Linked DNA regions of Macaca fascicularis. The protein of the gene in region 3 binds, or shares a complex with, the protein of the main gene of each other region. Links are inferred from orthologs where the notes say so. Each region holds a gene or a part of one and is shown on either strand. Other genes may lie near its edges. The genes, in order: PABIR1, ARPP19, PPP2R2A, RBL1 and IER5.

What was found.
Region 1: the proteins of PPP2R2A (region 3) and PABIR1 are in contact, whole or in part, in a cryo-EM structure (PDB 8SO0), measured with the Homo sapiens proteins. The link is inferred for Macaca fascicularis from reciprocal best matches to the Homo sapiens genes PPP2R2A and PABIR1. Residues at the interface, in NP_002708.1 of Homo sapiens: Phe84, Leu87, Lys88, Ser89, Leu90, Tyr178, His179, Asp197, Met222, Glu223, Leu225, Thr226, Glu227, Val228, Tyr337, Asp340, Phe343; in NP_612206.5 of Homo sapiens: His81, Ser82, Ser83, Arg84, Leu85, Ile88, Lys89, Glu92, Arg99, Glu100, His103.
Region 2: the proteins of PPP2R2A (region 3) and ARPP19 are in contact, whole or in part, in a cryo-EM structure (PDB 8TTB), measured with the Homo sapiens proteins. The link is inferred for Macaca fascicularis from reciprocal best matches to the Homo sapiens genes PPP2R2A and ARPP19. Residues at the interface, in NP_002708.1 of Homo sapiens: Lys18, Gly19, Ala20, Asp23, Asp24, Asp29, Ile31, Thr45, Asp47, Gly49, Arg51, Val53, Phe55, Val73, Thr76, Gln78, Glu81, Pro82, Glu83, Phe84, Leu87, Lys88, Ser89, Glu91, Glu93, Tyr178, His179, Asp197, Leu198, Asn221; in NP_001293124.1 of Homo sapiens: Lys42, Pro43, Gly44, Ser46, Phe48, Leu49, Arg50, Arg52, Leu53, Lys55, Lys58, Tyr59, Phe60, Asp61, Lys75, Pro93, Asp97, Leu98, Pro99, Pro103, Leu105, Val106, Ala107, Ser108, Lys109, Leu110, Ala111.
Region 4: the proteins of PPP2R2A (region 3) and RBL1 are in contact, whole or in part, in a cryo-EM structure (PDB 9C6B), measured with the Homo sapiens proteins. The link is inferred for Macaca fascicularis from reciprocal best matches to the Homo sapiens genes PPP2R2A and RBL1. Residues at the interface, in NP_002708.1 of Homo sapiens: Lys88, Tyr178, His179, Asp197, Leu198, Met222, Glu223, Glu224, Leu225, Thr226, Glu227, Val228, Ser247, Arg278, Ser279, Phe280, Phe281, Ser282, Glu283, Ile284, Ser287, Tyr337, Phe343; in NP_002886.2 of Homo sapiens: Ser615, Pro616, Leu617, Met618, His619, Pro620, Arg621, Val622, Val625, Arg626, Ser629, Leu632.
Region 5: the proteins of PPP2R2A (region 3) and IER5 are in contact, whole or in part, in a cryo-EM structure (PDB 8UO5), measured with the Homo sapiens proteins. The link is inferred for Macaca fascicularis from reciprocal best matches to the Homo sapiens genes PPP2R2A and IER5. Residues at the interface, in NP_002708.1 of Homo sapiens: Glu91, Ile92, Glu93, Glu94, Asp116, Tyr178, His179, Asp197, Leu198, Met222, Leu225, Thr226, Glu227, Val228, Thr230, Ser247, Phe280, Phe281, Glu283, Ile284, Ser287, Cys334, Tyr337, Glu338, Asn339, Asp340, Phe343, Lys345; in NP_057629.2 of Homo sapiens: Ala7, Arg9, Ile10, Ile13, Ser14, Lys17, Arg25, Gly26, Lys29, Leu30, His31, Lys32, Leu34, Leu35, Val36, Leu38, Val39, Leu40, Arg41.

Annotation. Positions count from the first base shown.
Region 1 is NC_088389.1:99,501,621-99,507,622, reverse strand, and holds PABIR1 (PPP2R1A-PPP2R2A-interacting phosphatase regulator 1), read right to left. Parts: upstream 3,383-6,002; 5' UTR 3,283-3,382; coding exon 2,419-3,282; 3' UTR 836-2,418; downstream 1-835. UniProt on the Homo sapiens protein: Acts as an inhibitor of serine/threonine-protein phosphatase 2A (PP2A) activity. Inhibits PP2A activity by blocking the substrate binding site on PPP2R2A and the active site of PPP2CA.
Region 2 is NC_088381.1:29,019,007-29,024,842, forward strand, and holds the start of ARPP19 (cAMP-regulated phosphoprotein 19), read right to left. Parts: upstream 3,869-5,836; 5' UTR 3,857-3,868; coding exon of another isoform or gene 3,812-3,856; 5' UTR 3,323-3,811; coding exon 3,188-3,322; intron 1-3,187. UniProt on the Homo sapiens protein: Protein phosphatase inhibitor that specifically inhibits protein phosphatase 2A (PP2A) during mitosis. Inhibition of PP2A is enhanced when ARPP19 is phosphorylated.
Region 3 is NC_088382.1:29,541,173-29,546,492, reverse strand, and holds part of PPP2R2A (serine/threonine-protein phosphatase 2A 55 kDa regulatory subunit B alpha isoform), read right to left. Parts: intron 2,216-5,320; coding exon 2,050-2,215; intron 1-2,049. UniProt on the Homo sapiens protein: Substrate-recognition subunit of protein phosphatase 2A (PP2A) that plays a key role in cell cycle by controlling mitosis entry and exit. Involved in chromosome clustering during late mitosis by mediating dephosphorylation of MKI67.
Region 4 is NC_088384.1:93,122,146-93,127,465, forward strand, and holds part of RBL1 (retinoblastoma-like protein 1), read right to left. Parts: intron 3,630-5,320; coding exon 3,481-3,629; intron 1-3,480. UniProt on the Homo sapiens protein: Key regulator of entry into cell division. Directly involved in heterochromatin formation by maintaining overall chromatin structure and, in particular, that of constitutive heterochromatin by stabilizing histone methylation.
Region 5 is NC_088375.1:38,575,589-38,581,306, reverse strand, and holds IER5 (immediate early response gene 5 protein), read right to left. Parts: upstream 3,308-5,718; 5' UTR 3,102-3,307; coding exon 2,118-3,101; 3' UTR 1,166-2,117; downstream 1-1,165. UniProt on the Homo sapiens protein: Plays a role as a transcription factor. Mediates positive transcriptional regulation of several chaperone genes during the heat shock response in a HSF1-dependent manner. Mediates negative transcriptional regulation of CDC25B expression.

The DNA.
Region 1 (6,002 bases), on a different chromosome or scaffold from region 3:
TTATAATCAGCAGGTATACATTGCCTTCTACTTAAACTCACGTGCAATTTGCCTCCCTGAAAAGGATAGGAATGGCATTTTAGGGAGAAGGAACAATCTATCCCAAAGCACAGATACATGAAAGTATGACATATTTAAAGAATATCAAGTGGTCTAATGTTTGTAGAATAAGAAAGACAGACATATACGGGAACAGAGATGAGGAGAGGATTGAAGCTATTGCAGAATATGGCCAGATCATAAAGAACCTTCTATCTGAGGCTAAAGAAATCATTCCTTAAAGAGTAGGAAATGGGGAAGCAAATGAAGTTTTCAAGCAAGAGGGTGAAAAATATCAAGTTTAAATTTTAGAAAGATTTCTCAAGAGGCAGTATAAAGACTGAACCAAAAGGAGACAGAAAACAGCCTGGGAGATCACTCAGGCAAAAACTTAAGGCAAAATCAGGGGCAACAGATAGAGAAGGGAAGAAATTTGAGATTCATTTCAGAAGTTGACAGGACTTGGTGATTAAGCTAATCCAACAGAGAAAAGGAAAAGTCAAAGATGCTTCCATGATTTCTAGTTTAGGAAATTAGTGATGACATCAATTGAGATAATGCAAGAATAGGTGAAGTGAGAAGATTAACAATTTCTGTGTTGAAGATAATGAAGTTTAAATACCTCTGGAGGCAGGGCAAGTTACCCAACAAGAAGTCAGACTATTTAAGTTTGAATTTGAAGAACAAGGTTGAGAATGGGAGCACATGAACACTATTACTCAGAAGAGAGAATTTTAAACCTGTGGACACAGTCTTACCCTCAATGCAATTTCACTCCATCTTGAGGCAACCATCAAGAGTTGACCAGTTCCATTTATTTTCATAGTCGTAAAAATTCCACAAAATTGTTAGTCTCTGTAAGTGATAACTTTAAAAAGTCAGAGCTTTTGTCTTGTTCTGAGTCATTTTTCCCCTTTCCTCTTTGTATGCCATTCTTTCTGTCAAACTATCTAGTTAAGGAAGCTATATGAGGTATAAGGAAGAATATTAAGAAAATTTTGTTATTCTTATTGTCTTAATTGTAAAGGCAAAGAAAAGAACATTCGACTATTCTACCTTTAGCAAAACCTAAGTTAAATAATGATTTACCTATGTGACTCTCCACTAATTTTCTCTTGCAAATCATCACCCCTTAATTAATGGACATCCCCAAGGCAGTCAACTCAAGCTGTAGCTTTAACCACAGAGGTTAAACAATTCAGTCCTGTTGTTGCTGTCAGAAATCCAAGTTACACTGTACCTTTGTCTAATCAATGGTGCCCTACTTTGGTGGGAGATGAAGGAAGGGACCTGTTGGCAAGGAAACAGCTGCTTCCTTCCTGAACAAGGGAAAACCAGTAAGGTGACAGATGGGCAGAGCAGAAAAGTAGCCAAAAATTGCTCTGGCTCCTGGTTGGCAATAATTTTTGGAACTGAGGCACAACTGAATATTTTAAAGTATATCAACAATTGAGAGAGAGTATTGTTTACCTGGGCGCGCCAAAGTTCAACAAGCCTTCCCACACATTTTCTACATTTGAAAAACTTTTACGTTTGCAGTAGTACAAAGAGCTTAGCCTTAGCCTATGTACAGTGGGCAAAGACTGCAAGGCACTGTCCCATTTCACTTTAGGATTGCACCCAAGCAAATGCACTTTCTGGTTAAAAAAAAAAAAAAAAAAGGAAAATTTTTATTTTCTCTATAATATAGTTGTATGACTGACTAGAATTACTATTAAAATCTCATTAAAAATGTTTTCCTTAAAAGTTTACTTTTATATACTTAATTTGAAAGGATTTGTTGCAAACTTTTATAATTTGTTCTCTAATCATTCCCCCTCCCACCCACTTCGGTACCCAGAAAACTAAATATCCAAGAATTCCTGGGTAAAACAGACAACCACTAGATTGATATAACTAACGTATTTTTTTTTTAAGCTGTATAGTTCTTCATCAAATGGAAATCGGCAAACCACTGAAAATAACATTAAAAATTAGTGTGGGCATGAAGTATGGAATTTTAAACATCAGTTTACTATGCTGATTAAGTCAACATTTATATTTTCATCAGAACTTAATAATCCCATAAATAAATAGAGCTCTCAATTATTTAAAAAAATCAAGGGATAACATATGTATTTAGACATAGTAGCAGCGTAAAGATGTATGCTTCAACACACTTATTGGGGAAACGTCTGAAAATATTACTACACTGAATTCAAAGGTATCCGCAGGAACCTGACATAGAAGTTCTCTAGAATAACATCATTTCAGGAAATTTCAAAAAAGAAAAGGGGTCGAATAGGAAATAGCCTCAAATTAATTGACAAAGTTCAGTGTTTGCCCCAACTTGATTATTCTCTCTCTCCACTGCAAAAAGAAAGTCTCAGGATGAGTGAATCACTTAGACGAAAGTTCATCTAGTGGAATAAATGGAGAAGCCGCTTGGGCAGGTGACACAGGAGAGTCGGTGGTAGTGCTGACTTTCGCTGGTGAGTTACAAGAAGATCCGGCACTGCTGCTGTTTCCATCAAGGGTATCCGAAGATACACACACACCAGGATCTGACAGCTGTGCAACGTCAGAAGAAAGCATGTTGGTGATGCCCTGGAAAAATCTCTTTGGCTGATAATCAGTTTCCATTTCACATTTTCTTTTCAATGGTCCAAGAACACTTGGTCTAATGCAATTGATGGGGCTCTGGCTTCTCCGGGTGGTAAATCGGGTCGTTGGGCTGGGAATAGGGCTTGGAGGCAATCCGTTGCTACTTACAAAACTTTGCAAGGATGGCGAAAAACACTGCTTCCCAATTCCCCGAGTGGGTGACGGTGCCGGTGACACAGGAATGAAATCGATGCGCTTGGGGGAGGCGGATTTCTCCACGTCGTTGTCACTCAGGCTGAAACTTTCCTCCCAGGAGTGGCTTATCTGCATTGCGGTCTGCACCTCCCGTTCGTGGACCGTCTCTCGGTTGATCAAGTCCATACCCTCTTCTTGTTTGATCTGGTGCAAGCGGCTGCTGTGCATGCGGACAGGGGAGGCCGGTAGCAGCAGGCCGTGGCGGCTCGGGAACGTTGTGCTGTTCCGCCTGGCGCTCGGCGCCTCGGCCTGGAACACCGGCGAAGTGTCACTGAGGCCGTGGATCAGGGGGGCGCTGTTAGACCTCCTGAGGCCCCCGCCGCCGCCGCTGCCGCCGCCCTCCGCCGGGCTCCCGCCCGTACCCGGAGGCAGCTCCAGGTCTAGCTCCATCTTCTCCTGAGCCATGTCGGGGGCAGGGAGGCGGGGGAGGTGCTCAGTCAGGGACCTAGGATTCCCATTCCCCGCAGTCCAGGGCCGCCGCCGCTGCCGCCGCCACCGAGAATCTGTCAGCGGGCTGGCCCCTCTGCGCATGCGTACCCCTTCGCGCAGGCGCTCGCGATGTCCGTCCTCGAGGCGCCTGCTTTATGCGTAATATCTGCGCGGCAGTGGTAGGGGAGGGGCGAGGAGTGGTCGGGCCGCTAGTCCGTATATTCCTTCAGCAAATAGCTATTGAGCGCAAACTGGCATTGACGAACGTCAATAAGATTGTCATATTCTGGAGTACATATTTATAAAACGAACAAAGCCCTGAAAGAGAGGCCCATGGTGATGTGGGGCTGTATGACGGGGAGTGGCGCTTGCGAATCAGGGAGGGCTTCCTCGAGGAAGGAACAGTGTCCTGAAATCCGAAGAAGTGGGCGAAATGGGTGCGATGTAAAACTTCGCAGGAAGCGGGAAGCAAGGGCGACCCAGCCAGGTGGCAGGCGGGAACCAGGAGGGGAGGAGAAAGTGTGGCCTGGAGTGGAGAGTGAGGGCTGGCGTGACGTGAGGTGGTGGACCAGACCACATTCTGGTCTTTATCTTGAGAACAATGAAAACTTAAAGGGTTTTCAAGCATGGGTATAATAGCAACTGAAAAGCTCACTGGCCTGCAGTCTGGAGAACAAATACTGGGAGATTAAAACCTTACAGAAAAAAGGCCAGAGAGGATGGTAATTTGCACTAAGGTGACTGTGGAAGTGGAGATGGAGAGAAAAGTAAATGAGAACTGTTTAGGTTAGGGGAAAAAGCCAAAACCGGGGATGGTACTGATACTGATTTACAGTCATAGTTCCAGCACAAGCATATGTGTGAAGTATGAAGGATTAAAGGAAAACCAGTAGGTCCTCACATTTTAAAAATAAAAACACTATTCTTGGCTCATGTAATTAATATGAAACCTTGATAGCTCATTAAAAGTGAATTTATTTGTTCATTTATTCAGTCAAGGTTTTTTTTTTTTTTTCCAGCATACTTACTATGTGCCAAACACTGCTAGGAAATGGGCCCTAGTCTGAGAACTTTTAATTCTTACTGAGGGGAAAATACAGAAATAAACGCAGGCTATTTTCAGATAGTGGTAAAGCCTTAGGAAAAACAAGATGGTGTGATGGAGCACTACTGATAGAAGGCAGCGGACAATTAGAGCTGAGATCTAAATGACAAGCAGCAGCAAGTCACGTGGACATCTGGGGAATGAGTATTCCAAGCAGAGAGAATAGCAAGTGCTAAGGCCCGAGGCAGCCATGAGTTTGTTGAGTAAGCGGAAAAAGAAAGAAGGGCAGTGCTGCTGAAGCATAAGAGCGGCGAGTGTTAGCAGAGGGTAAGAGTTGGATCTCATTCTGAGTATGATGAAAAGCCACTGGAGGGTTTTAAGCAGGGGAATGATATTATCTGGTTTATGTTTTAAATATCACTTAGGCTCTGTGGAAAACAGGCTGAAAGAGGACCACAGTGGAGGCAGAAGGATGAATTCAGGGCCTATGGCAACAATACAGATAAGATTCTTGGACTAGGGTTGTAGCAGTGTCAATGGGGAGAAGTAGAGAGACTGAGGCTATGTGTTGAGTTAGAACCAATAGGATTTGCAGATGGATTAAATTTAGATTGTGAAAGAAATAGATTATTCAAAGGGGACTCATAGCTTGTTTTATTTAAACTGGTGAGATGGTAGTATTATTTACTGAGAGAGGAAAAGAGCACATTTAGAGCTGTAGAAATTAAGAGATCTGAAGCAGAAGAACAGAAGGTAGAAAGAACCAACATTTTCTAAGTGCCTACTCCCTGCTAGGTACTTTAAACACTCCATAATCCCACTTAATCCTCACTGCGTAGATATTGTTATGCTCATTTTGTGAAGGAATGATTGAAGTTCAAAAACTGCAAAAGGTACTACAGTCAGTACACGGAAGAACAAAGATCTGAACCAATTTGAATCAAGGACTCATTTTGAAAACCTGTATTGTTTTCTCTGAATTTCACATGGATTAAAGAAAGAGAATTTCACATGAATTAGAGAAGGATGGCTAATTCTGCGATGAAAGAAAGGTCTAAAACCAAAGTTGGGAAAGGCAGAAGAAGGAGATAGATTTGGGAGACCGGGCAACAACAGAACCTAACAGCGTGGATGTGCAGAGGATGAACAGGAGACACAAATGACTGAAGTTCAACTGTAAGTGGCTGAAAGCATGCTACAAATTATTCAATGAAAACAGGAGAGAGGAGGAAATGTCTACAAAAAAATTAATATTAGGTAAGTACAAAAGAACATTAAATATAGAACTCACTTTATAATACCCACAGCATATTACTGTTAACTTGCATATTACTAAATTATTACCAATGTGGCTCAAATGTGCCAGATATTGTTCATCCATGTCTGGATAAACATAATAATTACCTTTACTAATAAAACACAAGGATGGTGATGAGCCCACAAAATGAAACATCTATGCTATTTGGTTCTTGCCTGAACACACCTATTAGAGATCTTAGCTGGTTTCCCAGTTTCTACCCTTGTCCTTGTAGAGGTGGGGACAGAGAATTGACTGACACTTCCGGTCCCAGCACAAATATTAATACTGACTGAGAGGCTTTCATAACTGTTCCTTATAAAAAGCAATCGCAGTTCTCAACACCAAGTGTAC
Region 2 (5,836 bases), on a different chromosome or scaffold from region 3:
GGGACTACAGGCATGAGCCACCTTGCAGGGCCAGAATTATCTGTTTTAAGTTCCCACTTGCCTCTTCTCCCCTCCAGGACTAGTACACATGCCTTAGCTTACTGTTGACAGATTCATGAGCTCTGTGCTCAAAACTTCTAAATGTCTGTTTTCACTTCAGTGGTTATCTTAAACACAAATATAAGCATATTCTGCGGCATCTGAATCACCATGTTGCATCTAAATAGTGCTATGTGGGTTCTGCATCTGAGCTTTCTTGCACCAAGACTCAGTAGGTTACTCCAACTGTCCAAGAAAATGAGACAAGAATAGAGCTGAACTTAAAATGTGATTGTATCTATGACTCTGGAAACTCAGTGACCTCATAGCTTACTCTTAAAGGGGGAACTGAGCCACAACATGGCCTAGGGGAGTGTTTACTTGACAAACTCAAAAAATCCCTTAACTTTTAACAATTGCTGTCATATTCCAAATACATTGGAAATTTAATTTCAGCAAAATACCAAGCACACAATCAAAAATTTAGACTGGCTTTGCTTGTATTTAATCTGTTTTAAATTTTATTTTATTTTTTTGAGACAGAGTTTCACTCTGTCGCCCAGGCTGGAGTGCAGTGGCACAATCTCCACTCACTGCAACCTCCACCTTCCAGGTTCAAGCCATTCTCCTGCCTCAGCCTCCAGAGTAGCTGGAACTACAGGTGTGCGCCACCACACCTGGATAATTTTTGTATTTTTTAGTAGAGATGGGGTTTTACCATATTGGCCAGGCTGTTCTTGAACTCCTGACCTCATGATCCGCCAGCCTCGGCCTCCCAAAGTGCTGGGATTACAGGTGTGAGTCACCGTGCCCGGCCAAATTTTATTTTATTTATTTATTTATTGACACAGAATCTTGTTCCGTTGCACAGGCTGGAGTACAGTGGTATGATCTCAACTCACTTCAACCTCTGCCTCCTGGGTTCAAGCAATTCTTGTGCCTCAGTCTTCTGAGTAGCTGGGATTACAGGTGTGGGCCACAGCACAGGCCTTTTAAATTTTTAAAAAATATTTTTAAAGCAGCTCACTGTAGCCTCGAACTCCTGGTCTCAAGTGATCCTTGCACCTCAGCCTCCCCAGCAGCTGGGACTACAGGCATGCCACCACACCTGGCTAATTTTTATTTTTATTTTTAATTCAATTTAATTAAATTTTTTTTTTTTTTTGAGACAGAGTCTCGCTCTGTCGCCCAGGCTGGAGTGCAGTGGCGCGATCTCGGCTCACTGCAAACTCCGCTACCCGGGTTCACGCCATTCTCCTGCCTCAGCCTCCCGAGTAGCTGGGATTACAGGCGCCCGCCACCACGACCAGCTAATTTTTGTATTTTTAATAGAGACGGGGTTTCACCGTGTTGGCCAGGATGGTCTCAATCTCCTGACCTTGTAATCCACCCCTCTCGGCCTCCCAAAGTGTTGGGATTACAGGCGTGAGCCACCGGGCCGGTCCTATTTTTATTTTTTATAGAGACAGAATCTTACTCTGTTGACCAGGCTGGTCTCAAACTCCTGGCATCAAGCAATCCTCCTGCCTCAGCCTCCGAAAGTGCCAGAATTATAGGCAAGAGCCACCACGCCTGGCTGTTTTAGTTTTAGAGTGGTACACAAGTTAAGAGATAAGAGTTTATACTTATTTTTTATGTTTGTACATATTTAATTGTATCCTAACACAAGATAGGAATCTATCTGGTTTTCTTCTCTTACCAAGGGAGCACACACCACTCAAGATAGAGAAAGTGACTTAGCTTTTACTCCACGCAAGGCCCAGCTATCTACCTTAATTCTTTAGAGGCAATAGGCAATAGGCAACCTACCAGTAAACTATAAAGGTATTTTTAGCTGAATACTTTGGCTTTAAGTGGAAGGTCAATTGGGTACACAGACAATAACTCAATTTTTTAGGTCATCGAACTGATCTTCCAAATAGAAGAAACAGGTGATTTGGCCCACAGGAACACAGAAGTGACTGTGCACATTTTCTTCATGGTTAGGGACACTATCCATGCCACAGGCACTTAGCATTTACAGTCAATCCTGAATTTAAGAAGGAACATTATATTCCTAACACACTGGTTGATTTTAATGACAGCAGCTAAAACCAAAGCACCTTAAATAAATGTTTAATGTAGACAATCAATAAGAGAAAACGTTCAAGCTACCCTTAGTACTGTTAAAAGATACATTAGGCTTTTCCAAGTAAAAGTATTTACACTCTAGAAATCAACACTGCATACTTTGGCAACACACTAACAGAACTTATCAAAGAAAATTACACAGCACACTACTGTGCACCAGAAGTTAATGCTAAGTTTGATGTCAGTGTTTAAGGCAAAACACCACAGAGAGGGACTTATTTTTTAGGGTTCCTAAATTTCAAGCAATAATGAACACAACAAGTATTTTTACAATAAGCAGGTGATACTTGATACTCCTTTTAAGATTGCAATCTTTAACATTTGTATTTTTTGCCCCCAAATTCATTTTTTTGGTAATGTGTAAAAATATCTATTTTCACTGGATATTCTCAAATCATGTGGTAACTTGGACTTTTACCTATGCTATATGTTATTTTCTCGCTTTTCAATTACTTTAACATCCTAACAGAAGCCCCCAACTCAAGAGAAGTTAACACAATTTTAAGAACATATGGAATGGCCTTAGAACACTAATCCAATTCCCAACTTAATTAGGACATAAGCGCAACATTAAGTAGAAACCCGCACGAAGGTCAAGCAGTAGACCAAAATCGTATTTAACGACAACACAACCTGATTTGTAAGAAAAATTGTTGATAAACAATTTAGGAAACAGGATACCTCGGCCCTTTCTCACTTCTCGGCCAGTCACACCTACCTAGGAGAGCAGGGCGGTGGAAATAATTACAATGGGAGAGACAAACACTAGCCTAGATAAATAGAAAGTCTTGATATTCATCATTTGAACCACACTGACACTCCTGGCCTATTCCCCTACATCAGGAAGACACAAGTGCGTTTAAAAAATATTCCTATGTTTCCAATAAAACCCTGATTAATTTCGTGAGTAAAATTTTAAATTTCCACCCTTTCGATTTTTAGTCGAGTACCATATCTGAGTTCCATTGACTGCAACCTTTTCCAGCACAGACTGCGCTGAACACTGCAGGTGACTCACCTCCTCTAGGCCTCGCCCCGCCGTGGGAGGCAAGCACCAGGATTCCGCCTTTACAGGTGAAGGCACTGAAGGCGGACTGTACCCACTGACCATGGTTACAAGGGTTGGTCCTGAAATACCAAGCCCGGCGCACATCGCGGCCCGCACACGAGGCTGCCTTTAGCGTAAACCGCACGCTTACAATACAAGTAGTTGGAGAGTTCTTCAGAGAAAAAAATCAAACTTCCTAAGCAAACTGACGCTCACAAAAAAACTTTAGGCTCTACGCCCAGACTGCGTCCTGGGCGCTCGCGTAAATGTAAGTGACTGAGGAACACCGCGACCCACGGAGGTGTTAGAAAAGGCACGATTCGGCGACAGAGCCAGACTCCGTCTCAAAAAAAAAAAAGAAAAGGCACGATTCGGAGTAAACGCGGGGCACGCTGGAACTCCCAGTTCGTCGGCGCACCAGCCAGCCAGTGACTGCGGGAAGCCAAAGGTGGGGCGCAGGAGCCTCGGCCTCTTGCGCCTCGGCCCCGCATGCAGGGCGCGCCCCTCCGCCCGGCAGGAGCAGGCCGCCCGCCAGACCCGGACCCGGCCAGGGCCCAGGGCCCACGCCCCACGCCCCACGCCCCGCGCACTCACCTTCTGCTCCTCCGCGGAGGCTGCCTCGGGGACTTCCGCAGACATAGTGCTCCCTCTGCAGACGAGACGCCGGGAAAAGATGCGATTAGCCGGTGGCCGAGGCCACCCGGCAGCCTGCCGCCTCAGGCCCGCCCGCCGCCCGGCCCAGCTCTCCCAGCGCCCGCCGGGCCGCCTCCGCCCGCAAAAATGGCCGCCGCCTTATGACGACACGGAGCCGCGAAGCGCTCCGCTGGCCAAGGCCCTCGCACGCCGGAGCCCGCCTGCCCCTCCAGCACCGCGCCCATACCTACTTGACCCCGCTTCTCCCGCTCGCTGTCGTTCAAACACTTCCTTTTTTCCTTCAAAGGTCGCTGCTCCCGCCTCACCTCACATCCGTCTGTGGCTCCCTAATGCTTCCTGGGAATTGTAGTTTCTAAGTGGAACCGCCTCTCCCCGCCCTTTCCTGCTCACTCTGGCCCCCTCGTTCTAGGAGCTTTTTATTTTACTCTTTTTACTTAACCAGCCTCGCCTAGTTCCGTTCTCCTCGCTCTCCGCTCTGTAGCCACACAGGCTGTCTTTTGCGCACGCCAAAGCTCCTTCCTCCATTCTGCCACGCCTTCACATCTCCAGTCCTACGTCTCCGCCTCAGAACCTTTCCTTCCTAAACCTCTACACTAGGCCACCTCTTAAAGGCCGTCACAGCTCTGTACAGTTCCTCAACAACACGAACTGTATCATTAGACAATTGTCGTGACTTTAGGTCACCTTTCCTGCTCAGATAAGCCACACCAGGGCAGGGATCTCGTCTGTAATTACTTATATTTTACTCTGAGGGTCCAGCACTTCCTAGATACCTAACGAAGGAATTCAGATTCATTTGTCCCCTCCCAGGGGGTCCACTCCCACAAGCTTACCGAAACTGCTAGCATTGAGCTCCCCCAATGACTCTTTCATTTGCCAAGTCCTGCGGCTTCATATTGAATCCTCATTCTACTTGATATCTGAATTTACTGGCAATGTTTGCCGGTTCCAACAAAATGTCCTTCAGAAACTTGGAAATAAAATTGCCCTCAAAGAGTTACACTAGTAAAAAACCACAGAAAATGAATGCAATTTGGATAATAAGTTTGGAAACCATCGAAACTCAACCAGGATGTAGAATCTCAGACAGGAAGAATTGCACTAGAATTGCAACTAGAAAAACAAAAAGAGTTAATATTGCACTCCTTTTGGAGAAACGAAGGAAGGTGTTTGTCAGCCAAGGAAGTATTGAAAGTAAAATGGTTCAACAGGCCAACTGTTTGACAAAGATACCCCTTACGAATGTCTCACGCTGGGCTAGCTGAGAAACTATAAGATCAACGACATATTTGTTCTCATTCTATACTCACAAAGTAATATACTGAAAATTTGCCTTTCCCTTAAGCAGAACTGCAGAGAGAAAGAAGAATGCACTAGTTAGGCCAACTGGAGCATTTAACAATTGTATTTTTATTAATAAATTGACTGGCATTCTAGTATATGTCCTATATCAATGTATTTGTGAACTTAGGTTAAAATCTGATAGACATACACTTATGATGAAATGCAGCCTCAAGAAAATTGCTGTGGCCAGGCACAGTGGCTCACTCGTAATCCCAGCAGTTTGGGAGGCCAAGGTGGGCAAATCACTTGAGCTCAGGAGTTCAAGACCAGCCTGGCCAACATGGCGAATCTCTGTCTCTACAAAAAGAAAAAAAAAAAGGTTTTTTTTTTCTTTTTCTTTTTCAGACAGATCACCCAGGCTGGAGTGCAATGGTGCAATCTCGGCTCACTGCAACCTCTGCCTCCTGGGTTCGAGCAATTCTGCCTCAGCCTCCCAAGTAGCTGGGATTACAGTTGCCTACTATCACACCCAGATAATTTTTTGTATTTTTAGTAGAGACAGGGTTTCACCGTGTTGTTCAGGCTGGTCTCGAACTCCTGGCCTCAAGTGATCCACCCGCCTTGGCCTCCCAAAGTGCTGGGATTATAGGCGTGAGCCACCACACCTGGTCTTTTTTTTTT
Region 3 (5,320 bases):
GTTGTATTTTACTTAGTGTTAAGAAACAAAAGACAAAAATCTACAATGCATTCTCGAATGTCTTTAAATAAGATTTAATCCACACAAGTTGAAATGGGATTTGCTTCCAAATAACACTGAGGAGAAGAAGGAGGAGAAGGATTTGAGACACAAATTGACCGTGAACTGAGGAGCATCGGAAGTGGATGATGAGCATGCAGGGCTTCACTATACTATTCTCTTGAGCTCAGCCTACATTTAAAAAGTCCTCTTTATAAAAAAGCTGACATAGCCCTGTAAGAAATAAACTGCCATGAAACATTCCAATATATAAAATGTTAACAACACACTTCCCTAGGAACATTTATTCTATAAGTAGAAATTATATAAATGGTTTAGTTATGTATCATCTGATGTCAAAGAACAAAATATCTGAAGCTATTTGAAGTAACTTAGTTTACCATATAAATTAAAACTGACCCCAGACTAGAAGCTAGCACATGATAGGAGTAAACTGTTCCCTCCACCCATGCTGCTGAGTTACAGGCTTTAAATAGTTACTTCTGTTTATTGTTCTTCTAATAAGGACAAGAGAGGGGAATGCAGTTTATTGTGGAAAGAGAGAAGGCAGAGGGTACGAATCCCAATGGACTGGCTGGGGAGAGCTTTCATGATCAGAAAACTGGGCATCTAAAAGGCGGCCAACACTGATGGCATCAGACATTTGTGAACAGCATTTTTAAGAACTCATACTGTGGACCAAGGGCATCAATTAGATGGAGGAAGTGCTGAATTTCTTCCCCTATTTCATCCCCAAAGTCATTTAAGTTTATATTCTGCAAATGGTTATGGTCTAGGTGTTAAAATTTGCTTTTTAAATTAATAGTGAGGGAATGAGAAAATAGGAGGAGGTTTCCCCTCACCCTAGCACCAACCTCAAAAAAGTTTTAATCACACATTTTTATAGACTACAGCTACCAAGAAACTAAAGTATCTCCTCAGTCACTCTAATGATTCCCTTCAGACTCAAGACTCCAACGAAGTCCAAACAATTCACGGGAAAAGTTTTTTATAAGAACAAAGAAAAAGAACCCAACTTATCATAAAGGATTTCAAATTCTGGTAGAGTCATTACTAACTTTTAATCCTCACTTAACTTTTCTTGGGCCAGGCATGGTGGCTCACACCTGTAATCCCAGTACTTTGGGAGACTGAGGAGGGGGACAGACTGCTTGAGCCCAGGAGTTCAAGACCAGCCTGGGCAACATCGGGAGACCCAATCTCTACAAAAAATGTTTTAAAAAAATTAGCCTGATGTGGTGGCATGCACCTGTGGGTCCCAGCTACTCAGGAGACTGAGGTGGGGAGATCGAGGTTGCAGTGAGCTGTGATTACACCACTGCACTCCAGCCTAGGCGACAGACATTGTCTCAAAAAACAACAAAAACCTCTCCCTGGGCAAGTAAAACAGTAGGAGAGGAATCTCCTTCCAGCGATGTGGATTGCTGGGAAGAAGGCAATATGCTAATAGGTAGTCAAGTAAGAAGAGTGCTCTGAATGAAGACCATCCTTTGAGTATTATTTTGTATCTGCAGTTAGAAATACTCTGTGTAGAGTTCAGGAACACTTAAAAAGGAGGAATAAATTAACATTTATTGAGCACTTGCACTCATGACATATGTGAAGAGTTACTTAATATTCATAATACTATAATAAAAAATTACTCTCTCTACTTCGCTGCTGAGGAAAATTCAATTCAGTGTTAGTAACCTGCCCAAGATTAGGAGACTGAGAAATAGCAGAAATAGTACCTGACCTAAATCCAATGGTATAGCAGCCCATTCTTTTCGCTACAAATTGGGGGTGTAGTAAACAAAAAATTGCTATCTGAGAATCTTTCAGAGAATCTAAAAACTGCAAGTGAACAGTAAAAAAGTAGAGTTTATATTCTGTATAGAAAAAAAGTCCTTTTTAAAATTATCTCTGTTAAATGATTCCTCTCCTAGTCTACAGGATTATGTGCAACAAGTACACACAGTGGGCACATGGAAAGAAAATACATATACTTACCATTGGTAGACAATAAAAACTGAGCAGCATTTTTCTGGGGTAACCACCTAATTTTGTTGATCTTTTCTTCTATTTCTAAACTTTTCAAGTAGTCAAACTCTGGTTCATGGCTCTGGAAGGTGCTGTAAACATTATATTCTCCTCTGCTATGAGACTGGATTTTGTTCTAAAATGAAAACAAAAATATATGGACCATTGTTGAAAAATATTTCAAAATAATCAAATATGTAATCAATTCCAAAGGACCCTGCAAATTCTCGATAGCCCATTAGCTGTGTCTTTATACAATTATATTCTATTTTTTATATTTCTAAAGGCCTTCAAGGATTAAATGAGAAAACTTAAAGGGGAAAAAAGGCTAAATAACACTGAATAAATAAGCTCATTCATTAGGGAAATAATGATGTTAAATATGGATCAATCTGATTGCTTTGATGGTATAGAGGCATACCAATGAAAAAAACTGAGCACCCATAATAAGGGAGTTCATCTAAAGAGTAATGACTAAAGAAAGGCTTGCCCAGAAAGAGCTAGATGAAGCACACCTTCTTTCTCTGCCCACTTTAGGGTCAACTCCCCAATCTGTTACTTAATATGATGTACTGTCTCCTTTTCCTTTCTGATGCCTGCCTTTTGGTTATTTCGCTGCTGAAAGCTTAAAAAAAGGGCTCTTATAAATGAAGGGATCCCATTTGACCCCTGCCTCCCACCCCAAGACTGCTGTTCCAGACAGCTTTGTCACCAATCAAGTCCATATTCAGCACCACCCAGCAATAGCCCCATGCACCCCATCAACTACTACTTACTCGCCTTTAATTTGCTTTCTCATCTTATGAACCTGGCACACACTGATGATTAATTTCATTTAGTATTACTTTGAAAGAACATAATTTAAGCTATCTCGTAAAGGGACTACTTATGAACTACTTTGGTTAGCATTAATATCTCAGCAAAAGTGAGAATTATAATATTCAGAATTTCATCTTTTATCACACGATTAAAAACATTTTCATAAAAAAATTTAAAACTAGTTCAGAGAACCACCTATGGAAAAAGTTTAAATAAAAGAATGAGATTATTATTGTCAACTATTTTAAGTAAAAGTGAGTTATCCAGTGAAATGTTTACGACTTCTTAGCCTATTACTATTCTCCATATCAAAAGGAAACTTCACCGAATCATCTTGAAAGTCTACGTTTTGGGTTGTTTTTTCCAGCAGCCTGACGATCTGGGTTGTTCATTCATGGATGGTTGTATTTAAACCTTTGGACAGCAGTATCAGTTATTAGAGGGCAAGTCTGCCAGTGTTAAGAATGCAGTGTCCCACAAAACGATCCACATACTGGGGACACACAAGGGGTAAAAATCAGACTCAGAGCCTTGGTCTCATCACCATACCCACACACCAAATTAGACAGCCTATTCCATTAACATATATAAATACTCCAGTGTCACCTGAAAGCTCCACATATCTTCTACCTAAAATGACTCACCCAGTCTCACAAAGTTTATCATTACACTCTACAAGGAAAACACAATACCATTAAGCAGGCAACTCGATTTTTAATATAAACCCTGCGTTTTAGACTGGTTTTTCATCTAACACTTAAAGAGACTATAGTATATAGCACCTTGTACACTAGGGCGTAGAGGGATAGACAGAATCCCCACATTCAAGTGACCTGTGTACGTCAAACTTCAGTCAAAGTAGAAACTGGTTATGGTCTACACAATTAAGGTAAGCAGTATGAAGGGCCAAGGGCAAGCCACACATTGTATTTGATGAGTTAAGAAAAGCACAAAACTACAGAAATATTTTCTGAAACAGAACATGAACATCTTCCTGTAGACTCATGGACAACAACATGAGTCTACTAAACATGATCTCTTACAGAATCCAAAAACAAAATCATAGAGATATATGGCAGTTTCAATAGACTGCAAGAAGTTCCATCTCTTTGCAACAGGAAATAAATATATGTATCATAAAAGGAGAAAATTCTGTCTAAAAAGCTCAAGATGCCAGGCTAAGCACATGCACTAGCCTCCCCTCTCCTCTGAAACTTTACTAAAATTATCATAACAGAACTTTTAAAAACAAGTCCACAGGACAAAGAGTAATGGCAGAAATGACAGCAGCAGTAACAAAACAGAAGAGGCTATAAAACATGGGTACAAGTGGTAACTGACAGTAGACTGCAGAAAGCTGCAACAGATTTTCCCTAACACTTTGGGAGGGGATGTTTAGATTATAATGACCATGATAGCATTGTTCCCCGCACGAACAAAGGACAGTGAGCAAGCCTGAAATAAAAGAAACATAACCAGATACTCAACACTGAGCCACTCAAATGAGAATGCATCAAAATCAAACAACGTTTTTGTTTTAAAAACCTCTCCTACAGTCATACAGAATTGTGACACATCCTTCAACAATGTATACTGGCTTTACCTGCACAGCATTTTCACCTCCCTCTCTTTTCTTGCTTGCCTTTATGATCACTATGAGAATCATCTTCCTAACCATACAATCTATTTGCATGAAAGTTTCTACGGTAAGTTTAGATGTGCTTTATTCCCCAGCACCTATAACAGTACCTGGCACATGTAACAGGCATTCAATAAAGATTTTCAAAGCAGGACTTAGAATGAGGTATGTCACATACTTTACATACATTACAAGCACAGGACACAAAACCAGTATCACACATTTTCAACACAGATGCAAAGAGAATTCACTAAAGGGCATCATAACCAAGTTTTAAAGCAAAGTCATAAAGACTGTGTACTGGCACGAGGATAGACCAATGTGCCAATGAAACAGAACAGATGGCCCAGAAACAGGCCTAAATGATGACAAAGGTTGCCTTGCTGGGCAATGGGGAAAGGATGGTCTTTTCACTAAATGGTGTTGACTAGTGAATAGGTTGACTATTCATAGGAAATAAAATGAAGCTCGACCCCTTCCCTAAACCACTCACATAAAGTGATTACAGATGAATAAGAGATATAAATGTGAAGGTACAATAATCAAGTCCTAGGATAACACAACCCAAGAGAACTTTTCTGCAATGATAGAAATCGTCTGTATCTGTGTTGTCCAGTATGGTTTTGCCACTAGTCAAGTTGAGCACTAGGCACACACTGAGCACTGAAAATGTGGCTACTGCAACTAAGGAAGTTAATTCTACAATTTATTTTTAACAATTTAAATGTATTTATTTATTTATAAGGTGGTAAGGCTGACTTTATTTAAAGAGGGCCATGGAGA
Region 4 (5,320 bases), on a different chromosome or scaffold from region 3:
ATCTGCCTCCAAAAAAAAAAAAAAAAAGATTTCTGGGGCCAGGTGCAGTGGCTCACTCCTATAATCCAGCACTTTGGGAGGCCAACATGCTCTGATCACTTGAGGCCAGGAGTTGGAGACTAGTCTGGCCAACATGGCAAAACCCCACTTCAGCCTCCTGAGTAGCTCCTAAAAATATAAAAATTAGCCAGGTATGGTGGCATGCGCCTGTAGTCCCAGCCACTTGGGAGGCTGAGCATGACAACTGTTTGAACCCAGGAGGCAGAGGTTGCAGTGAGCCGAGTTTATGTCACTGCACTCCTCCCTAGGTGACAGAGTGAGACTCTGTCTCAAAAGAAAAAAAAAAAATTCTGGACAAGACACCAGGAGTTAAGCCACGAGCACGAGAACCTCATATTCATGCTTAAAAAGTAAGGACAGGCTGGGCAGGGTGGCTCACGCTTGTAATCCCAGCACTTTGGGAGGCCGAGGTGGGTGGATCATGAGGTCAAGAGTTCAAGACCAGCCTGGCCAAGATGGTGAAATCCTGTCTCTACTAAAAATACGAAAATCAGCTGGGCGTGGTGACAGGCGCCTGTAATGCCAGCTACTCAGGAGGCTGAGGCACAGAATTGCCTGAAGCCGGGAGGTGGAGGTTGCAGTGAGCCAAGACTGTGGCCACTGTACTCCAGCCTGGGCAACAGAGCGAGACTCCTTCTCCAAAAAAAAAAAAAAAAAAAAAAAGTAGGGACAAAGAATAACCAATCTTCTAACACTTGCTATAACAATCTCTCTCTACACACACACAAAATCTCTCTCTACCCCACAACCAAAGCAGTAGCAGAGAGAATAAAAGAGGCAGAGAATTCTATAAGCCAGCAGAATGATTCTGACATGGAAAAAAATCTGTTAATGAAATGGGAAACACTTCATATGGAAATGGAAAATATTTAGAAATAAGTTGGATGAGCAAGGATTTCATTTTCTTTAATATCCTGTATAATGGAAATAAATTAAGATGGTAGAGATATTCAGAGTATATAGACAGAGGGGAAGTGAAACTGGAGTAGGATGAACAGTTATGACCTCTGAGGATAGTCATAGACCATATTCCATGAAAAGAGGAAGAACAGAAATGTACAGATGCACACAGATACATAGAAACAGCTATTGGCTGGCTGGCTGCAGCTTCTGCTAGGGCCTTCTTTTCTTTTCTTTTTTTGAGGCAGGGTCTTGCTCTGTTGCCCAGACTGGAGTGCAGTGATGCGACTGTGGTTCATTGCAGCCTTGACCTCCTGGGCCCAAGCGATCCTCCTACCTTAGCTTGCTGAGTAGTTGGGACCACTACTTGGGTGTATACCAGCCACTACATGGCTAATTTGTAGAGTTTTTTTTTTTTTTTAAAGAGACAGGGCCTTCTTATTTTTCCAGGCTGGTCTCAAATTCCTGGGCTCAAGCAATCCTCCAGGCTTAGCTTCCCAAAGTGCTGGGATTACAGGCTTGGGAAGTGCCTGGCTGGTCTCTTTTTCTTAGAGCTAAAGTCTGGTCTTCTGGGAAGCAACCTCAGCTTACACACTGGTAACACTTTCTCAGGCCTGCTGCGACTGCCAAAACTGGGGTCTGCATAATTTTTTTTTTTTTTTGAGACGGAGTCTCGCTCTGTTGCTTGGGCTGGAGTGCAGTGGCATGATCTTGGCTCACCGCAAGCTCCACCTCCCCGGTTCACGCCATTCTCCTGCCTCAGCCTCCCTAGAAGCTGGGACTACAGGCGCCCGCCACTATGCCTGGCTAATTTTTTTTTTTGTCTTTTCAGTAGAGACAGGGTTTCACTGTGTTAGCCAGGATGGTCTCAATCTCCTGACCTCGTGATCCGCCTGCCTTGGCCTCCCAGAGTGCTGGGATCACAACCGTGAGCCACCACGCCTGGCCTGCATAAAAATTTCTTAGTGGTGCCTCTATTAATGATCCAGGCCTATCTACTTCCTTTTGCCTTTTTTTTTTTGAGACGGAGTCTTGCTCTGTTGTCCAGGCTGGTGTGCAATGGTGCAATCTTGGCTCACTGCAACTCTGCCTCTCGGATTCAAGTGATTCTCCTGTCTTAGCCTCTCACGTAGCTGGGATTACGGGTGCCTACCACCATGCCCGGCTAATTTTTGTATTTTTAGTAGAGATGGGGTTTCACCATGTTGACCAGGCTGGTCTTGAACTCCTGACCTCACGTGATCCACCTGCCTCGGCCTCCCAAAGCACTGGGATTACAGGCATGAGCCACAGCGCCTGACCTCCTTTTGTCTTTTTTTTTTTTTTTTGAGATGGAGTTTCCTTCTTGTCACCCAGGCTGGAGTGCAGTGGCACAATTTCTGCTCACTACAACCTCTGCTTCCTGGGTTCAAGTGATTCTCCTGCCTCAGCCTCCCGAGTAGCTGGGATTACAGGTGCCTGCCACCACGCCACCTAATTTTTGGTAGAGATGGGATTTCACCATGTTGGCCAGGCTGGTCTTGAACTCCTGTCCTCTGGTGATCCACCCACCTCGGTCTCCCAAAGTGCTGGGATTACAGGCATGAGCCACCACACCTGGCCCCTTCTGTCTTTAACTTGAGAAAAACATTAATCTCACAATGTAACAACAGAAAAATTTACCAAATTTGCTGGGCGCAGTGGCTCATGCCTATAATCCCAGCACTCTGGGAGGCTGAGGTGGGCGGATCACGAGGTCAGGAGTTCAAGACCAGCCTGACCAACATGGTGAAACCCTGTCTCTACTAAAGATACAAAAAATTAGCCAGGTGTAGTGACATGCTCCTGTAATACCAGCTACTGGGGAGGCTGAGGCAGGAGAATCACTTGAACCTGGGAGGCGGAGGTTGCAGTTGAGCTGAGATCATGCCATTGCACTCCAGCCTGGGTGACGGGGTGAGACTCTGTCTCAAAATAAATAAATAAATAAATACAAACAAATTAATTGTTTTAATATTCATGTTCCCATCAAGTTCTTACCCATATGTACACGGAATTTCTAGTAACATAATCATGGTATAGATAAAATTTCTGCCAGGCGTGGTGTTTCACACCTGTAATCCCATCACTTTGGGAGTCTGAGGTGGGTAGATTGCTTAAGTCCAGGAGTTCCAGACCAGCCTGGCCAACATGGTGAAACCCTGTATCTACTAAAAATACAAAAAAATTAGCCAGGCGTGGTGGTGGCACGCAGCTGTCCTACCAGCTACTTGGGAGGCTGGGGTGGGAGCATCGCTTGAGCCCTGGAAGCAAAGGTTGCAGTGAGCCAGGATCTCACCACTGCACTGTAGCCAGGGCAACAGATTCCATGATTTCCTCTGGTCTCTGTTGTACCATAGCCTTAATCACCGATTAAGTTACTAGTCATGCTCTGATTAATTGCTAGTAATTTTACTTTGACATACTTATCTAGCAAAATAAACTTACAGTAATTCAACTATGACAGCGAATAATAATAAAGTAGTAAAACATAAAACATACCACATGGTCCTGATTTGACAAGTCGTATTTCAGTGCAAATGACTTCACTCTTCCTACATATATTGTATTGTAAAATTTTATAAGATCACCTCTTTCCTCTTTCACTGGTCCACTGGAACAGTCAGGTGTTTTTGTAGCATCTTCCAAGTCTGTTAAAAAGAATGCAATGTTGTGATACAAAGCATACTTTTTATTTTATTTTTTTTGAGACAGGGTCTCACTTTGTCACCCAGGGTGGAGTGCAGTGGTGCAATGTTGGCTCACTGCAACCCCAACCTCCTGGATTCAAGTGATCCTCCCACCTCAGCCTCCTGAGTAGCTGGGACTACAGGCACGCACCACCATGCCTGGCTATTTTTTATTTTTAGTAGAGACGGCGTTTATTTTTAGTAGAGACGGCAATATTTCCATGTTGCCCAGGATGGTTTCCAACTCCTGGGCTCAAGTGATCTGCCAGCCTCAGCCTCTCAAAGTGCAGGGATTACAGGCGTGAGCCACCATGCCCAGCCACAAAGCATACTTTAATATACAAGTCAGCAATTTAAATTACCTTTCTACAATATTAAAAAAAACTCACAAGTCTTTACATAGAGAAATTAATATTTTCAGAGAAGGTTCAGAAATCCATCTGTATTACTTATAAGTCAAATTGGAATCTAGAGAAATGCAAACATATCAATTGAAGGTGGTGCTCTCTTCTCTAGATGCCACTTCAGAATGTTTTCACAACCATAGCTTTTGAGCTGACTGTCATTAGTGGCTTTTAGAGGGGCAACAGCCCTGAGCTGGTGTTATCTAAGTTCTACAGTATGGGAGGCAGTGGCAAACCTCAGCTTCATAAAACTAAAAGGCCTGCAGATATTCTTCTTGTGTCTTTGAGAAAGGTGGAAAGATTCTAAAAGGTAAAGCATATCCTGAGAGGTTAGGGAAGAAGCAAAATGAATTACATTTATTTCTCTGCAAATACATGGCAGGTGACAGGTGTTCTAAGAGCCTTATTGTACCACGTACAACAGGAACTCTGATCAGGAACCAGTGTTCAGGTTTTACTGAGCACCCCCAATAGTAAAATAACAGCTTGCCCCAACGTAGTTTCCTACTTAATGGTGCAACTCTGGGATAGCTTGTGAAACTAGGCAGAAATTTGTCCTACTATTTTTTGGGGAAGGAAAAGTATTATAGAGTATTACAAACTATCATTTGCTTGTATATACAAGAACCATGTGTTTAGAAGAGTTAAGAAAACCACTACCAATTAAAAATAATTTAGCATTTATTTGAAAAAAGTTCTCATTCTCAATTCACTGGCCTACAAACATTGAGAACATGGGTAGAAGCAATGCCTTCACCTTAGGAAAACCAGAAAACACAAACATGGTTCAAAGACCAAACGGCCCCGGGGGATCTCAGTCTTAATTTGGATGTCTCTTTCACTTCTGCTATTTCTAAAGGATCTTGACTAGGGTGGGAGGGGAGGGGAGCTATGTGGTTAAATAAAGTTGAGGAAATGCTGTACATTATATTAGAAATTCAGAAATGCATGTTAGTATAAGGCTCTGAGAAGTACTGCAGTTTGGGAAAAAAAAAAAAACTCTCATGTTCACTTTAATTCCATACTTCCCCAATTTTTTTTTTTTTTTTTTTTTTTGAGACGGAGTCTCGCTCTGTCGCCCAGGCTGGAGTGCAGTGGCCGGATCTCAGCTCACTGCAAGCTCCGCCTCCCGGGTTTATGCCATTCTCCTGCCTCAGCCTCCCGAGTAGCTGGGACTACAGGCGCCCACCACCTCGCCCGGCTAGTTTTTTGTATTTTTTAGTAGAGACGGGGTTTCACCATATTAGC
Region 5 (5,718 bases), on a different chromosome or scaffold from region 3:
GAGAATGTTTAGTTCTATAAATACATTATAATGGCGAGAGAGCGTAAAGTAGAAAGTTCCCTATGCTTAAGGAACCACTAATAGATTTGCTGAAATATCAAGTCACGAGGCACTGGCCTATTCAGCTAAAACAGAATTTCATATAATTGGGAGTTAAGGCCAAGACACCATTCATATGCCTCTTATACTCGAAGGCTATGACCTTTAAACCTTTGTCTCTTTCTTCAATCTCTCCCATCTTTTAAACACCCTACATACTCATAAGTTGTTAGAAACCAGCACCACCTTTTAAAGTCCTGGCAACTGTACTGTATTTTAAACACCATTCCCTAATTGATTTGCTTCTGAAATAGATTATTGAATACCTTTCAAACACTGAACATGAAGAGACAAACAGCTCTTAATGGCAGTGATTTTAGTAAAATCGATGCATGTTTTGGCTATCATCATCTAAGTGTCTACCATGACCAAACACTGATGTCACCATTTGAGTAACAAAACAAAGCAGGAAGTTTTGCTAAATGAGAATTAAAGTTGCCCAGCCCTCCTTCCTTATCTGGTTTGATGCAAGCAATTTCCCTCTCACCAATACATTTACTTTCTAGATATAAGAGAAAAATGGAAAATTTACATCCTGACATCCACTGTAATGCAGAGGTGGACCTGACAATTTGGACAAGTCAGTCTCTTTCATCTTCCTATGTCAGTTCGAATGGGTTTTTAAGGTAAACTATCTAAACTTTTTTTTTCAATTACAAAGCTAAAAGATGACCCATATTAACAGCTTAACAGGAAACAAAGTTTTGCTGAAAAACATTTTTGCAGATAAGCAGGGCTTCAAAAGCTGATGGTTAAATTACTTAATAATATACACCCACATATTGGGTGACAAATTGGTCTAAACCGACCTTAGAAAAGCCAGTTGTAGCGGTAGGTTTCAAGAACCTGGCAGGTCGCTGATATTAGTATCTAATAGCATTCCTCTGATCTAGGAGGAAAAATTAAACGTGTCTCTCTTGATACTTAGTGGAGTCAGTAAACAATGTTCTCAGTCTGCGAATGACTGATATTAAGAACCACACCTTCAATTTTCTAGCCCAGGCCCTGGTTTCCCTCTTCCCACTTCCCTCCCAACCCAGGCAGGTTATTGCAGACAAGCAGGCAGTTACGTTGCTTCAAAATATTTAATACGTGTTAGACACGTAGAAGTTACATTTTTATACAAAAATCAATACAACGAAGGAGAAAATACTGTACAAAAACCTTATCAGCTCCCCCAACCTTTATATAACAAAGACTGGAGTCACCATATCTACAAAACCATAAGGTCTTTCCACTTCGGGCTTCTGTCTGTAAACTTTCATTAAACACTTTTTAAAAGCACTGTGTAGTAGTTCTGACCTAGAGCTTTTAAAAATATATCTTTTCTCTATAAACTCCATTATTTCCAAGCTTGAACTCTTCTGTGAAGTTCAAGCTTTTTCTCCCCTGCGGGGAAGCAAAGGACGGTTAATATGCCCCTTTCCTAGAGTAATCACAGGATATAAACGTTTCTTCATTGGGAGAGAAAGGTGGGGAGGGACAGAAGGAATCCAAGTCTGTGCTGCTGGCTAAATCCCTCTCGTCTTAGGAAATCCTGTGCGGAAACGCCACTCCTGGCCCTGAAGCGGGTCTAGCTTTCCGGTGAGGGGTGGGTGTAAAGTCCCTCCCTCCCCGGAGAACGAATGGGGAACTCCCCGGCCCAAACCTTTTAGCCGCTTCCTTCTCCACGCAGCCGGCAGAGGAAAGTCCCTGTCTGCCCCCAATCTCTTAAGCCCTGGGGAAGGAGTGGTGCATTCCAGAACAAAATAGTCTTAATGCCACAAGACAAACTTACATACACAGACATACACAAACACAAAAAGTTAAAGATCGTCCTCTTCCAATGAGCCTCAAGCTCCCAGGTCTCCAGAAAAGCCAGATGCGCCCGGGGGCAGTTTGCGATGCCCAGCGGCAACCAGTCTGCCCAACGCGCTCAGCGGCCGCGGTCTCTGGGCGTCCTCGCAGCCGGCAAGGGCCCGACCCTCACTTCGAGGACGCCCGCTGCTCAACCTCCTCCCCGCATGGGGGCCAAGGGCTCAGAAGGCCACGATGGCTGTGCTCCAGGGGTTCATGTCTCTCAGCACCGGCTTATCGCAGCAGATCTGCCCGGGCTCGGCGGCTTCCGGGCCGCTCTCCTCTCCCTCCTCTTCCTCCCTGCCGCCCCCGGGGCTTTTCCGTAGGAGTCCCGAGAAACTGGAACCGAAGATGCTGATGAGGTTAGCCACGTTCCCGGTCTCCATCTCCTCCGCGTCGTCGTCCTCTCCTCCACTCGGCGGCTGCTCTAAGTTCCGGCGGGGCTTCTTGAGCGGGGTCGAGCCGGGCGCCGGGCAGCCCGCTGGGCCGCCGCCCACCCCCGCCGCGCCGCGCTTCCTGGGGCACACTGCGGGCGGCGCGGGGGGCTCGTCCTCGGCTGGTCGCGGCGCGCAGCAGCAGGCAGTGCGGGGGGTCGCGGCCGGTGTACCCGGCGGGTCCTCCCCGCCTAGGGGGCAGCCGCAGGGGCGGCGCGCGGCAAGCGATCCCTCGGGGAAGACGCCCCAGCCTCCGGCGGGACCCTCGGCTTCTCCGGCCGCCGCCTGGCGCGGCCGCTCCACGCGGCTCCAGGCAGCTTCCGTCGCGTCCGCCTCTCCGCCCTGAAGAACGTCCCCGACTCCGGTCACCGTGGTCACTGGCACCTCGTCCCCTACCCGCGGCGCGTGTGAGACGGAAGGGCGCTCCGGTTGCGGCTCGGTCTCCGGCCAAGAGGCACGGGCGACGGGCGGGGGCGGCTCTCCCCAGCCGGCGGGTGGCCCGGCCGCCGGCTCCCCAGGCTGCTGCTGCGGTGGCGGCGCCGGGAGCCCAGCGGGACCGGCCAGGTAGAGGCCGGGGCACGGGTCGCTCAGGTAGACCTGGCGGGCGCTGCGCAGCACCAGCGAGACCAGGAGGTTCTTATGCAGCTTGATGCCGCCGCGCTGGACCCGCGAGTTGTAGATCTTGCCCAGGGAGATGCTGACGATTCGGTGAGCCTCCAGCTTGAACTCCATCCTGCCTCCCCTGCACAGGGCCGTCGGCGCCGGGGTGTTACGTTCGGAAACTGGGAGGGAACGGGAGGCGCAAACAAGTCCGCCCCGTGGGCACACCCTTGATCACCTAAGACTCCGAAGAGAAATGACTCCGGTGACGCGCGCTCACTGCCCCGCAGACCTCTCTACACCAGACAACTACCCCGTTTCGGGTCCGGTAGCTAAACAGGGCAGCCCGGCCGCCCCGCGCCTTATATAGACTCCTCGACCGCCAATCACGAAGGGCCGCCAACCGTTCCGGGGCTGGCCGGCGCGCCCTCGTGCGCCGCGCACGGCCAATCGGAGCCCGAGGAGGGGCGCCAAGGCCCGTTCGAACGTTAGTCCCGCGGAGCAAGCTCTTAAAGGGGGCGACGGATTGCGGGCGGAGACCAGGCCGATGGGGAGTGAGTGTTGGGGACCGTGCTGGGGACCGTGCTCGGGACCGTGCTCGAGGGCGCTACTGTTTGGAGTTACAGATTCTGGCTTGTGCGATGGCTTGCCGGAACCAAAGCGAACAAAATATTCGAACTTTCTTCCGAGCACGGTGTTGGACTCTGTTCTGCCATAAAGTCCTGATCTTTTCCTGATCAACTCCGCCCTAACCGGCCACGCCACCATTTCCAGGCCCGCCACACCTGTAAGCGATTCCCCTCAACCCTGGCAAAAATAGAGATGGTGGCTATACGCGGCGGAGGACACCCCTGGATAACAAATAGTATTACTGCAAAGTATTTGGCTGTCATTATTTTTGGATGAGCCGCTTTCCCCGCTAGAGTCACATACACTCTTAGCAGCTGTCAGTTCTAACACCAAAGAAAAAGGGGATTCTAAAAGTTTTTGGCTAGGTTCTTGGCTTCTTATCAAGGAATTGTGTCTAGATACAAAGTTACTGGTTGCCCTCTAAAGCCGGCATCTTTCACTTTGTTCTCTAGATTCTGGAACAAAGCCAGTTATCAAATAGGTTAAATGGAAGATGTTACAGGTTCTCCACAATGATTTTTTTCCCATTTCCATTTTTCCATTACAAGGACTGATCAGTCAACCCTTGGAAAAATCGAGCAAGGTCTGAAAATAAAAAGAAAGAAGTCCTGTGTTCCCATGATGATGTCATAATTTCATTTTGTGTCAAGGTAAAAATACAGCGCTAGGGAGTTCCAGAATTTTCTGGTCAGTCAACAATGTAGTCCATCTACTGGTCCTTATATCAGGGCACAATTACCACAGGGTTGCCCAGGGTCCTGGACTGGAAACATGGAGTCACTTCCAGTTAGTTCCACCGAAGCTCCACCACAGACCTGCCTGAGGACTCTGGGTAAATAACCTCAGACCGCTTCAGTGTCTCCACCGCTGAAAAGGGGAAGTCACATACACATCTGCTTTATTGTACAGACGATAAATGACAACTTCTCAGCCACAAACTGAATGAGAAAACTAAGCACTGCTTTCTTGGAGTCCATGTGGAACCCTGGGCCTGATCCTGCCCCAGGGATTGGCCAAGCAATGAATTTATTTAGGAAAAATACCAGTGAAGGGTGGGCTTGATCATGACCAATTGACAATCTCCAGAAGATGTGATGGCTCAGTAGCATTACCTGTGCCCACAACTGATGGTAACTGAGACTGCAGGCTCTGAGACCCAGTTCCTCCCCCCTCTAGGAATTTTCAGCCCATGCAGAGAAAGAGATAAAATAATGACACAAAAATTACAAAACCAAGTAGCATATATTAAGTAATAATGCAAGAATTTTTCTCTTGTCTTTTTCTTTGCAAGTTGTTAGTCACTATAAAGCAATGGCTAAGAGCACAGGCTGTGGAGGCCGGCTTCCTGGCTTGGAATCCCAGCTTCTCCGTTCACTTGCTGCATGGCCTCTGGAAAATTATTTCACTTCTCTGTGCTGCTGTCTTTTTTATTACAAAATAATCAGCTGGGTGTGGTGACTCACTCCTGTAATCCTAGCACTTTGGAAGGCCAAGGCAGGTGGATCACTTGAGGTCAGGAGTTCAAGACCAGCCTGGCCAATATGGTGAAACCCTGTCTCTACTAAAAAAAAATACAGTAATTAGCCTCACATGGTGGCAGGTACCTGTAATCCCAGCTACCCGGGAGGCTGAGGCAGGAGAATGGCTTGAACCCAGGAGACAGAGGATGCAGTGAGCTGAGATCACGCCATTGTACTCCAGCCTGGGCAACAGAGTGAGATTCGGTCTCAAAAAGTAGAATAAAAAAACATAAAAATAAATATAATAATAATAGTGCCTACCTCTTAAGAGTTTTTGTGAGGATAGAACAAGGTAGCACATGCAAAGCTCACAGAACAGCACCTGGCATACAATAAGCTATCAATGTAGGCTAGTTCTCAGAACACATTACCCCACATACTACCTTGGGGTGGGAGAAGAGGCTGGGAGAAGAAAGGAACATAGATGGAAGAAAGTTTCACCGAAGAAGTTGTATCTGAAGAGGGTGCTGAAAACCTCTGAGGTAGGATCCACAAGTTCCAAGCAGCAGGAGCAACAGAGTCCAGTGTAGGGAACATCTTATTTTGCAGTTGCGCTGGGGGCATGCCCAAAAGCAAGTGGGAAAGACTAGAAGCAGAGG